3 linked regions of the Tamandua tetradactyla genome follow. The protein of the gene in region 3 purifies or fractionates together with the protein of the main gene of each other region. This does not show direct contact. Links are inferred from orthologs where the notes say so. Each region holds a gene or a part of one and is shown on either strand. Other genes may lie near its edges. The genes, in order: AKAP8, AKAP9 and PRKAR2A.

Region 1 (3,745 bases), on a different chromosome or scaffold from region 3:
TCTACCAAAATCCAAAGAACAAGAACTGTGTAATACAAAGTGCAAACCCTGAGCAGAAGCCATGGACTTTCTAGTTAATGACAATGTGCTAATATCAGCTCATCAACTGTAACAGACCACGAGAATGTAAAACGTTAAAACAGTTGAAATGAGGGTGAAATGTATATCAGGTTCTGTGCACTACCTGTTCAGTCTTGTAATCTTTAAACCAAAACTAAAGCCTATTATTATCAAAAGCTTTTATTATACCTTTAGTTATTTACTTAGAACACAATAACAAACTGCCACCAAAAAAAAAAAAAACAACCCATGAAAATTAAATGATGTTTAAATCTCAGCATCTTTAACTGAGTGAGACTGGAACCCAGCCACGTGCATCTGTTTACATAACTACAGCTGCTTTCAGACCACGGAGACCATAAGACAGCCAAGCGCCTGGCCCTGCAGCCTCCCCAGGATAAAACCTACCACCCCTGGGGCAGTGCCAGGTCTGGCTCTGCCCCACCAGGGCCTCCGGGTGGGAGGGAAGCTTGGGGACAGGCTCATACACTGCTCCCTGAGACAGAACCACTCACCCTGGGTGTTGGCAGGCCCAGCACTCCATGCCCCATAGCCTGCAAATGGAAGACACAGTGAGTTAGTGTCCAATTTGTCACTTGGGAGACCGGGTGCTTTGTGAGGTCTGAGGAACATAAAGTCTCTTCACCAGAGTTCCACTGCAGCCTTATAAGCAGGCAATGGATTCCATCCTAAGAGACACCGGATACTGGCTGATTTCATCATCACTCCAGCTGCCCGAAGCCAAAGCAGGAAAAACAAGGGGGGCTGACAGGTTATGAAGTCAGCTCTGCCCCTCTCCTGCTTGGGCCTCGGCCAAGGACCGCACACCTCCACCTCAACAACTCACACCTGAGGACCAGAGGCCAAGGCCAGAACCCAACATCAGGCCACAAACACACAAGCTCTGGGAACATGAGGCTGCAACCGGCCTCCGAGCCTGACAGCACATCCCAGGGCCTTCAGGGATCCGGAACTCAGCCAGGTGCCACCCCATCTGGCTGCCCCTCTTCTGAGGACTCCCCTCGCTGCTGCGGACCCTCCCCCCACAACACCTGGCTGCCACCAAGCAAGAGAGTGAGAACTGTGCCCTCTTCACTTCTCCCTCCCTGGAACGCAGCACCCACGCCTGCCTCCTGCTTCCTTCTTACAAATCAAGAATGGATCCGCATGTCCCTTCCTAGAATGAGCTCCAGACTAATAGAGGGCCTACGATGCGCCACGTGACAGGCACTCTAACCTCAGGTGGCATCACCTAGCAGTATCCAGAGACCAGCAGCTAAGACTCAGAGGTTAGAGCCGTGACCCAAGGTCCCAGCTTCCACATCTGGGCACGAGGAAGGCGCAGGAGCCTACAGCTGCACACGTGACCAACTGCGGAACAACAGGGCCCCCAGGAAGCAGAGGGTGGGACTCTGCTCCTGGCCCCACTGTGTCAAGGGACTGAGGCTCATCCCCAAGCTGGAGAAAAGCTGGGACTGGAACCCAGCTCCGGGTGGTCCCCACGGTAAGGGCGCCCCTGCTCCAGGCCCAACGGTCCTGGGACAGGCAGAGTTTTGAGCGGGAAACTCACAAAAATATTCAAGAAGCCAGCAACAGCTAAGTGAACTTAGGCTAAAAAAATTCGGCGAAAGGGAAACATTTCTCCAAACTGAGACAGGTTGGCGGGGTCTCTGGCTCCGGGAAAAGGCAACGAACGGACAGACCCAGCGCCACGCCAGGAGGGCCCCGTGGCTGCTGCGATTCCTGCGGCCGGGATCCCGCCACGCTCCCACACTTCAGGCTGCCCGGCCCCGCACAGGCCGCCCTCCCCCGCCCTGACCAGAGCGCTCCGGGCCACACGCGCCGCCCGGGGTCCAGACCGCCAACCAACCAACCCCCCCCTTGCCCCATGACCGCGACCCCGGCCCCTCCCCCCGCCTGGCAGGCCGCCGAGGCCCCGCCCCCGCGCCGCCATCTTGTGGCGTCTCAAGCTAAAGCGGAACCGCGGGCGCCGGGGTCGACCGAGAAAGGGCCGGCGGGGACGCTAAGGGGAGCGTCCCCACTGCCTAGGCCGACCCCGCCGCACCGGCCAATCCGCACCGAGCTTGCCAGGAGCGACGGCGGCGCGGCCCAATGGGCGCCGCGCGCGCCCCGGCTGCCTCTCGGCGGCCTCTGGCCTTGGGCGGCGGTAACGCTCTCAAGGGCTTGGCCCCGGGCCGCAGTTCTTTCCGCGGCGACGGCAGCAGCATCCGGCCGTAGGCCGCCCGCTCCCCACCGCAGCACCTTGAGACCCTACCTCCGTAACCCTGCTCCATGTCTTCGCCTCAGCCCGCTGGCAGCTCCTTTTTCTTCGCTGCTCCAGCACGCAGGCGCTCAGCACTCGTCACGCCGCCAGCTACTGGGGGCGCAGGAGCAACGTCACCCCACCCATGCTGCCCCATTGGCTTCTTGCGCCATGGGCCCGCCCCGCAAGGTCCCAATCTGGCCACCGGTTAGTCGGGGTTTGCGCCAATAATAGCCAAGGGCGGTACTGGGGCCGCGTTCTCCAGCCGAGCCTGGCGCGCAGGCGCACTGCCCTACCCCGCCCGCTTGCTCCCCCGCCCCCACGAGCCCGCCAGGTAATCTCCGCCCCACTTCCTCCCTCCCGGCCCCGTGGCGCACGGACAGACACACGGCAACACGGAAGTAGCGGCGGCGGCTGCAAGAACTTTATTGGGGCGGCTTCGGCCTCGTCCGCCCGTCCGGGCCCACTCACGGGGCGCCCCCGCCGCCCTCCTCCTCGTCGTCGGCCTCCACGTCGAGGCCCGGGATGCCGCGCACCCGGCGCTGCAGCGCGCCGCCCAGCAGGGGCACGGCCTCCTCCTCCTCCTCCTCGGGGGGCGGCGGCGGCGCGGCCTCGGGGGCCGGCTCGGGAGGCACGGGGGGCTGCGCCGGCGCCCCCTCCGCTGGCTCGTCCGTGGCACCACCCTCGGCCTCCTCCTGCTCGCGCTCCTCCTCGGGGCCGTCAGTGAAGGGGTTCTCGCCCTGCAGGGACGGGGGTGGTGAGGTGGGCAGACCCCGCGCCCCGCATACCCCACCCGCCCGTCCGCCCGTCCGCCTCACCCTCAGGTAGCGCTCCAGCTTCTTGCTGATCAGCTTGTTGTTGAGGATGCTGCGGGCCACCATGAGCGAAGCCTTCTTGGACTGCTCCATCATGAGCTGGGGGCAGAGCAAGGCGGCTGGGGAGGCTGCCTGCAGCCCCTGCGCCCTGGCACCCAGCCCCCGGGCTCAGTCCTGCCCCACTACTCCACAAAGGAGAGGAAAAGGGCCCAAAGAGGGAGAAGGGTGGGTCCCTTGGTGCAGGCACAGGGCGACTCTCACAAGCAGGGAACCACCACCGGATCCTACCTCTGCTGAAATGCCCCATCTTGCTAAACCACACTGGAATGGCATTATATGTTTGTAGCTGAACTGCAGAGATTGATTTGCTTACCTAAGCTGTAAGTACGGGACAAATTAAGAAACCTACTGAAAACCATGTGCAATAATGACAAAGTGCTAAGTTCTTTGGATCTTAAAGATCTTAGATCAACAGGAAAGATAGAAAAGCAGGGATACAAATGCCAAACCACTTATCAAAATGATGGAGCACTGCAAAGTTGAACAGAAGTAACAGAAGGTTGAAGACAAAGGCAGGCTGAGATGCAGTTTGATAGAATGTATCAAA
Region 2 (3,745 bases), on a different chromosome or scaffold from region 3:
TAAATTATAGAGGTCATTGACAATGAAAACCCATTACTTAACTCAATTTTATAAAATAAAGTCAATATATATTATTCTGTGAGTTGATAAGACTGCATTTTAAATACTGTGGCCCTTGCAAAAGACTGTAGTCAAAGATGAAATGTTATTTTGATATCATATGTTGTTGTTAGTTGAACTTCCTTTCATGGTCTTCTTTATGTGATGGTACCTTGACAAGATTTTAATCAGGAAATCCAGCTGTAGCGTCTGGGGCTGCGGTAGCTCAGTCTACACCACAGGAAAGCAGTCTGCACCACAGATTACTGTATTCTCAAGGATGACTTCAAGAGTATTGTTTGCAACAAGCCCCAATGATGCACTCATTTATACTACACTTCTGCCTACATATGCTTTTGACTCAGCATTATTATCTCTCATTTTCATGACTTGGGAATAACAGCCAACTTCAAACACATTATTGTACCAATGGCCAGAGGATTGGATTCTGAAATCTCCAGCAAGAGGGGTGATATTATAAGGGTGAGCATTTATAATAAGGGCCTGTCCTTCTATTATGTTCCCTTCACCAATTACTATTGGCCTGGCTCTGCAAAAATTCGTGCTTTAGGGTGGATCACCGTCCTAGGTCCTATAGTTACATCTTCCCTGATTTCACTTTCTACACACACGGCTGCCCCAGGAATGATTTTCATAATTTTTTGAGTCTTCTCTGCTATGGTTTCGCCTGGTCTCCAACAGGAGTCGAGATGGATTTAATCGCCTGGGTAGGTCGATGATTTCCCAGTTGTGTTAGTTTTAATGTGCCAGGGACAGTCACATATATTAATTCGTTTAATCCTAACAACATTTCCAAAAATTCTAGGTGAACAAACTGGAGCTCTGGGAGGATTGGTACCTTGTTGCAAGATCATTAAAACTAGAAAGTGCATAATGGCTTTGTCTCCACCCCTGGGTCTGAAGCTTATGCCCTTTTCTGAACACCATCGCTAAGGGGAAGCTCCAAGGAGGGAGGGAATAGAGTTAGGGGACATAGAGGAATAAGCCATGACTGGAAACATCTCCATTGAGGTGGAGGGAATAATAGACATCAATAAAGCTACTTGGAGGCGACACCTCAGGTGGGCCTTGAAGGACGAATAGGGGCTTGGGCGGGTAACAGTATGGGGAAGGAGGGGCTTTCAGGATAAGGAAGTAATGAGAACAAGCAGCTGCTCTCCTAACTCCTGGAATAGAGTCAGTGCAGGTTGAGAAACTGACTCCCCCTGACCCCCCACTTTTTCCTTTTGGGCTTTTCAGTGCTCTCTAATCTCACCATTAGACATCTTTATTTTTGTAATTAAAAAAAATGTTTTAAAAGCGACCACAGAATTCCTAGAACAGTGAGTGGGGGTCCGACCGGATGCCCCCTGCCCTATCGCCCTTCCTACCCGACCCCTAGTCCGCCCCCACCTGGAAGCTGCGCATCCCGGAGGAAGGACAAGAACCGGCCAAGGCTAGAGGAGCACCCACTCCCTTGGTTCTTAGACTCGAAAGCTGAGAACTGCGTGGACAAGGGTCGCTCCCGAGGTCCCGCGCGCGGTGGGGAGGGGCTGCGGGCGCACCTGCCGAGCCCAGCGGGACTCGCGGCGGCTGCGCGAACAGACGTCCGCATCCCGCTCCCCTGCCCCTCCCCCCAGCCAACCCGCGTTCGGCCTTGTGTTTACGTGGAGACGAAGATGGCGGCGGTGGCGGCGTTCCCTGTGCGGCCGAGGACGACCAGCCAGTGAGCGAGGCAGCTGGTTCGACTGCGGGCGCTGGAAGCCGGGCTCGGCCCTGCTCTCTGGGCCCTGGAGCTTGCCGTCCCACTACGTCTGAACCGACCTTTTCTTTCTACCTCCAATCCCCTCCCTGTCTTCCCCCACCCTGCCCTGCAGAGGCCATGGAGGACGAAGAGAGACAGAAGAAGCTGGAGGCCGGCAAAGCTAAGGTAGGAAAGCCGGAGGCAGCCTGGCCGGCTGTGGGAGGCGGCGGCTGGGGAGGGTGGGAGGGGGCCACGGAAACGGAGATCGTGGTAGCTCTAGTGCGCTACCTTGAAGGGAGGTTCTTACAGACGTCTTTATTTCCCCCTCGCCACCGTCTTTCCAATAGTGAGAAAAGCTTCTAGCAAATGAAACTTCCGCGATGACTGGATCGTATGGCCCTTTTCTTTTTATTGCCCAAATGAAACCCTTCTATTACTGTAGTGCTGCTATAAGCTGATATTTATTAGTCCTTGATCTCCAGTCTTTCACTTTTTTTTAAAGGAGTTTTCTGGGTGGCGCAGGCATTGTTTTCCAGGGTGGGGATTTGGAGCTTTTCTTTATTTGATGGGGGATTTGTGCGCTGATCATCAGCTTGACTTCCTTAGGTGGCACGCTGGCACTCTTGGGTGTGTGTGATTGGCCTCTGTCAGCTGCCACAGCAGTGACTTGAGTGTGCCACACGTGCCAGCTGTGAAGTTCCTTTAGAGGCGTTTTTTAAGCGTGCTTTGTATGTTTGTGTTTGGAGGTCTTTGTCATGGCATGCGCTTTTGTATTGTGTGGAATGTTAATGCATTCCGTGATTGGAGTTCTGGGAACGACAGGTTCCGTATTTTAAGCAACACCTATAGAATCCCTGCTTCAAATACTACCTAATGGTTGATTGTGTATGAATATATATGTGTGTGTGTGTATCGGGTGACTCCTGATTTTATGTGTGTATATGTATGAAAAAGCCTGTAAAGTACACAATACACAGTTATACACAGGTATCTCTCAATTGAGAATTTGACGAAAAATTGGCATAGACAACATATAAATTAAGTAGCATGTTTCTTTTAAAATGTTAACGTTTGAGATTATCTCTTGGCCTTAAAGACGTTCTACAATGAAGTTACCTTTTATAGGTTAGATTCCAATTATCATATCAGAGGTAATTGTTAGCAATCATACTTGATTCATAATTAAATTATAGCTGTTTTTCCTTCCTCCCTGCTCTCCTCCCATATAAATAGACAAAGGAAACTGGGTCAATAATTTGGTAATCAACAAAGGGCCGTATTGCAGAGATGCAGCAGTAGATGGTTAGCCCAAGATTGTTAAATGAATATATATGTACACTAGTTTCATATTCCATAAAATTCCACTTCAGAAGTCAAGGCTTAGGTGCTTGTATGTACCCAGGTAAATTATTGCTTTAAAGTCCATAAATGGGGGAAAGGAAAATGAGGCTATTTTAAGAAGCCCAAAGTCAGTTGCTTACATTTTGTGCAGCCCCGAGGGTCTGAGCAAGCTCTATGCAGCCAAGGAAGTGGAGGTAAAGTGTGCACCCTCTTCCAAAAGTCTCTAAGTAGACAGTTTATATCTTGTCTATTACCTCAGAATTTTTACTGTCTGCTCCAGAAGTATCTTTTCTAACTGTATGTGAAACAGTCCTACAAAATACAGTTTACTTCGGCATAAATTCACTTTGGACATAATAACCCATAATAATTAGGGGATTTATTTAAATTGCTTGCCACATCATTTGATTTGGCAAAATAGAATTCTATTTCTTTGTGTGAATGTGGTTTTTTTGGTGTTTTAAAATTCTACCGATTAGGGTAAAAAATCTTTTTCTTTTAACTTTAACTTTTATTGTAGATTATCCTCTGGAGTTGAGCCCAGTATTTCCATTGAGAAATGAAAGTGTGCGGCATATAAAGCAAGATATATCTGCTGCAGAATTAGCTGTGTAATATAAA
Region 3 (3,745 bases):
TATTCTAATGTTGCCAATGGATATGCAATGTATTTTTAATAGTAGTTCATCTTGTGTTGATTTCTATTGCTATAGCAGGGTAACCACTTAGGAGGAAAAAACAAAAATAAATACCAATAAATTAGAACACAGTTACAAAGATTTTAAATCAACTCAATTTTGAAAAAGACACAAAAGATGACAAAGAATGAAGACGTGATACAAAAATCTTGAAACTGTTTTATTCATCAGGGATAATTTCTAAAATACTCCTCTAAACTGTTTTGTACAAATAAAATCTGGCAAAAAGGGTTACAGCTTTGTGATTAATAGAGAATAACAGTAGGGGAAAGAAACACAAAAACTGAGAAGTCACACCTGAGATACAGCTGTTTAAAAACACATTTATCCCTGGGAGATTGCCGTCCTGGTTCCCCGTTTAAAGATAAGTAAAATCTGAAGTAAAAACAGGTTTAACAACTTGTCTAAGACCACAAAAGCAAACCTGTGGCAGAAATTTGGCAAACAACAATTTCTGATTATCAGGTTTATGATTAAAAATCCATAACAGACTACGCAATAAGTGGAGGAAAACAGAGAAGAGCAATTCCACTCTTTCAGCATGAATAAACTGTGGTCCTGCACACAGAAGCTTAGAATCTCCCAAAGGAATGACCATTAATTAACTCCTAGCTAGCAGTAGCTGGAAAGTAAGACCAGGACAGAGTCAACTACGTAGTAGTTTTTTCAGTGTGATCTAATAATACTAAGTCTCTAACACTGCCTCTCAAATGTTTTCATACTTTCGTTAAATTTTGGCTGTGTAAAAGTAAAATGTTAAAACAACATTTATTGTTATATTGATAAAGCCTATGCTGAAACAACCAAGGAAAGTGGAATTGCTTCTTGACATTCTTGCTTAAAACATATGAAGAAAATGTTACTTTTCTTCTTTTCTGCAATCCACACACTAAACAAGATTCATACTGTTCACCTTCACCAAATTTGATTCAATTGTTTAAGCCAAATTTAAAATAAATAATAAAGGAGATTACCAGGATCCATATTTTAAGAAATACATATTCAACTACACAGGAGTGAAATGATCTGTCTGGGATTTGCTTTAAAACATTTCAGCAAAAGGAAAAAGGTATGGGTGAAACATTTGCGGCAAATACAATTGTTGAACGTGTGAGAGGTTCTCTTTTCTCTCTACTTTTGTCTATGTTGAAATATTTCATAACTCTTTAAAAAATGAATTAATACCAAAGTTACCGTCCTGAAAATTAAGTACGAGTCACTGAGTGTTAATACTCTTGTCTTCAGAACGAAACGAGGCAAAGGGCCTCAAAGAAAGGGCGAGGATCCTTCCACGAGGCCGACGTAGGCTCGGAACCTCAACGCCCCCAACCCCAGCTCCACGCGACCACCCAGACCGAAAGCGCGCACGTTTCGCTCGTGGCTGATTCTGGCAAATCATTCCGTGCGCTCTACGAATGGGAGAACAGCTGATTTGGAAGTGGCGCACGCGGGAATCACGCTGGAGGCTCCGGGAAATCCGAGAAACTCCGCTCGAGAACGCCCAGGTACCAGTCCAGGGCTATCGGCTCGGTCCCCGGCGCGACACACGGCCCCATGGCCCCCGGACCTCTAGCGACCCCGGACCAGTCTCCTCAGCCCCTCCACCGAGAACCCCCAGCCTCCAGTGAACCTCGGCCCCGCCCGCTGCCTACCGTCAAACTCCTCGTCGTCCTCAGTGTCGGCGTCCGCGGTGGCGTCGGCGACGGGGCAGGGCTCTTGCTCGTGGGGGCCGAGAGGAGGGGCGGTGGCGAGCGGCACAGAGGTCAAGGCGCGGGCCTCGCGCAGGCGGGTGAAATAGTCTACCGCGAAGTCGATAAGATCGGGCGGTTGCTGCCGTAGCACCTCCACCGTGTAGCCCTGCAGTAGCTCCGTGAGCCCTGGCGGGATCTGAATGTGGCTCATGCTGACCGCGGCGCGGAGACTGGCGGATACGGGCCGCCAGCGGCCACAGCCTCCCGTACTCCCTCCCGCCGGCCCCTAGCTCTGTTACGCGCGGCCCCAATCCGGCTTTCCTCACACAGCACTTAGGCCGGGTCTGCGTTTCCGGGCCGCCCGACCCTGCGTTACTTCGGCCGGCTGGCGCCGCCGCCGCTGTCACTGTACCGCCGCGGCTGCCGCGGGGACCGACGGGCGGGCGGGACGGGCAGGGCAGGCGCCCGGGTTGTGACGCAGGCGGCTGCGGGCGTGCGCGCCCCCGCCGAGCGCCAGCCCGCAGTGCGCGTGCGCCGCCCCCCTACTGAGCCGTCGGGGGGTCGCTGCGGGGGAAGGGCTCCGAGTGCGTCCTCACGGCGCGCGACCCTCGAATGAAGAAATGAATGGCCAACCGGCGAATCAGCTTCTGGTTAACGCCTCTCATCTGGTCGTAAGAGCTCGCATTTATTCTTTTTGTACACGCTGAGCGCCTTGTTTCCCGACACTTACTGGGAGCTAGGGATACAGCCAAGAGCCAAATGGTGACACACACAACCACCTCAGTGTGATTTCGGCTTTGGTGGAGAAGAAGGCCCTCATTAGGGGGTGACATTCAAGTTGACCCTGAGGCCTGGTAGGATCTGGTCAGAGGAAGACCTGGAGGAAAGCCATCTGAGTATAGAGGATAGACAGAGCAAAGGCCTGGCCAAGTCTGGACTATTTTGGCCACAGGAAGGAATGGTGAAATGACCATAGGACATTCGGGAAGCTAGCAGGAGGTCTGTGAGATGTCAGCTGGGGAAGGCTGTGTGTGTGGTGGTGGTGGTGGTGGTGATAGTGTTAGTAGTAGTAGTTTTCAGTGAGAGAGTAATTTTGGAGCCATAGGCAGAGAAATAAACCTGGAAGAGTTTATCTGACCAAACATGTAAAGACGAAAAGGAGAATAAGGCCCAGAGCAGAAGGAACCTCCATGGCTCTGTGCCTGCTCCTCTCCTTGAGTACTCCTACCAGGTTCTCAGATCTAGGTCTGCATGCACCTTCCCTTCCCATCCTGGGCCCTGGGCCAGCACTTCTTGATGGAGCTGAGCAGAATGTAAGGCACTGCTACCCTTGGCCCCTGGGGAGTGTGTATAGGCAAACCGGAGAATCCAGGCTATTTCTCAAAATGCATATCCCCCACCCCAGCCAAACTGGGAATAGAAAAAGATGGAGGCCTAGATGCTGACCAGAGGCCCAGATGGTATAGGACAGAGTCTTCCCTCTCCTTGATGGGCTTAGCCAGAAGTGACTAGCTGTAGGCTTGGGAAGCTGAAGGACGTTCAGGATGGTTAAGCGCCACCTGGTAATTACCCCTTATTAATTAAAACACGCACTAGCACCTCTCTTACTGGCTTGGCGCACACCCAGGAGCTGAATGCTACTGGGAACTAAGATTCTAGCAGCAGGAACACAATATCCCAACTGATGCAGAGATTTCTAGGCCAAGCAGGCTTGTGATTCCAAACAATGTCTTCCTAGATAAGTTCCTTGACCCCTGAGAGGGGTCTTGGACCATTAATTTTGTGAGGGAAGAGGTAGTGTCTGACTTGTTCCCTACTGAGTCCTCATTGCACATTTTGGAGTTTTCCTGAATAAACTGAATGATAAATTTCTATGCAGTAAGCAGAACCACTGAAACTGCTGTATTGACCTCTCATTCTCAGAACTGGGATCCTATAATGCAAAGCTGTGCTTCTTAGAATGTGAAAACCTCACTAAGGACAGACAGCAAGGG

What was found.
Region 1: the proteins of PRKAR2A (region 3) and AKAP8 purify together in Homo sapiens (affinity purification with western blotting; 3 studies listed by BioGRID and IntAct, with this or other methods). This does not show direct contact. The link is inferred for Tamandua tetradactyla from reciprocal best matches to the Homo sapiens genes PRKAR2A and AKAP8.
Region 2: the proteins of PRKAR2A (region 3) and AKAP9 purify together in Homo sapiens (affinity purification with western blotting; 3 studies listed by BioGRID, with this or other methods). This does not show direct contact. The link is inferred for Tamandua tetradactyla from reciprocal best matches to the Homo sapiens genes PRKAR2A and AKAP9.

Annotation. Positions count from the first base shown.
Region 1 is NC_135337.1:94,123,001-94,126,745, forward strand, and holds the start of AKAP8 (A-kinase anchor protein 8), read right to left. Parts: upstream 2,472-3,745; 5' UTR 2,355-2,471; coding exon 2,336-2,354; intron 615-2,335; coding exon 576-614; intron 1-575. Other genes in the region: AKAP8L (A-kinase anchor protein 8-like), read right to left, coding at 2,791-3,063, 3,142-3,237. UniProt on the Homo sapiens protein: Anchoring protein that mediates the subcellular compartmentation of cAMP-dependent protein kinase (PKA type II).
Region 2 is NC_135327.1:124,514,617-124,518,361, reverse strand, and holds the start of AKAP9 (A-kinase anchor protein 9), read left to right. Parts: upstream 1-1,605; 5' UTR 1,606-1,921; coding exon 1,922-1,969; intron 1,970-3,745. UniProt on the Homo sapiens protein: Scaffolding protein that assembles several protein kinases and phosphatases on the centrosome and Golgi apparatus. Required to maintain the integrity of the Golgi apparatus. Required for microtubule nucleation at the cis-side of the Golgi apparatus.
Region 3 is NC_135341.1:37,420,721-37,424,465, reverse strand, and holds the start of PRKAR2A (cAMP-dependent protein kinase type II-alpha regulatory subunit), read right to left. Parts: upstream 2,187-3,745; 5' UTR 1,963-2,186; coding exon 1,713-1,962; intron 1-1,712. UniProt on the Homo sapiens protein: Regulatory subunit of the cAMP-dependent protein kinases involved in cAMP signaling in cells. Type II regulatory chains mediate membrane association by binding to anchoring proteins, including the MAP2 kinase.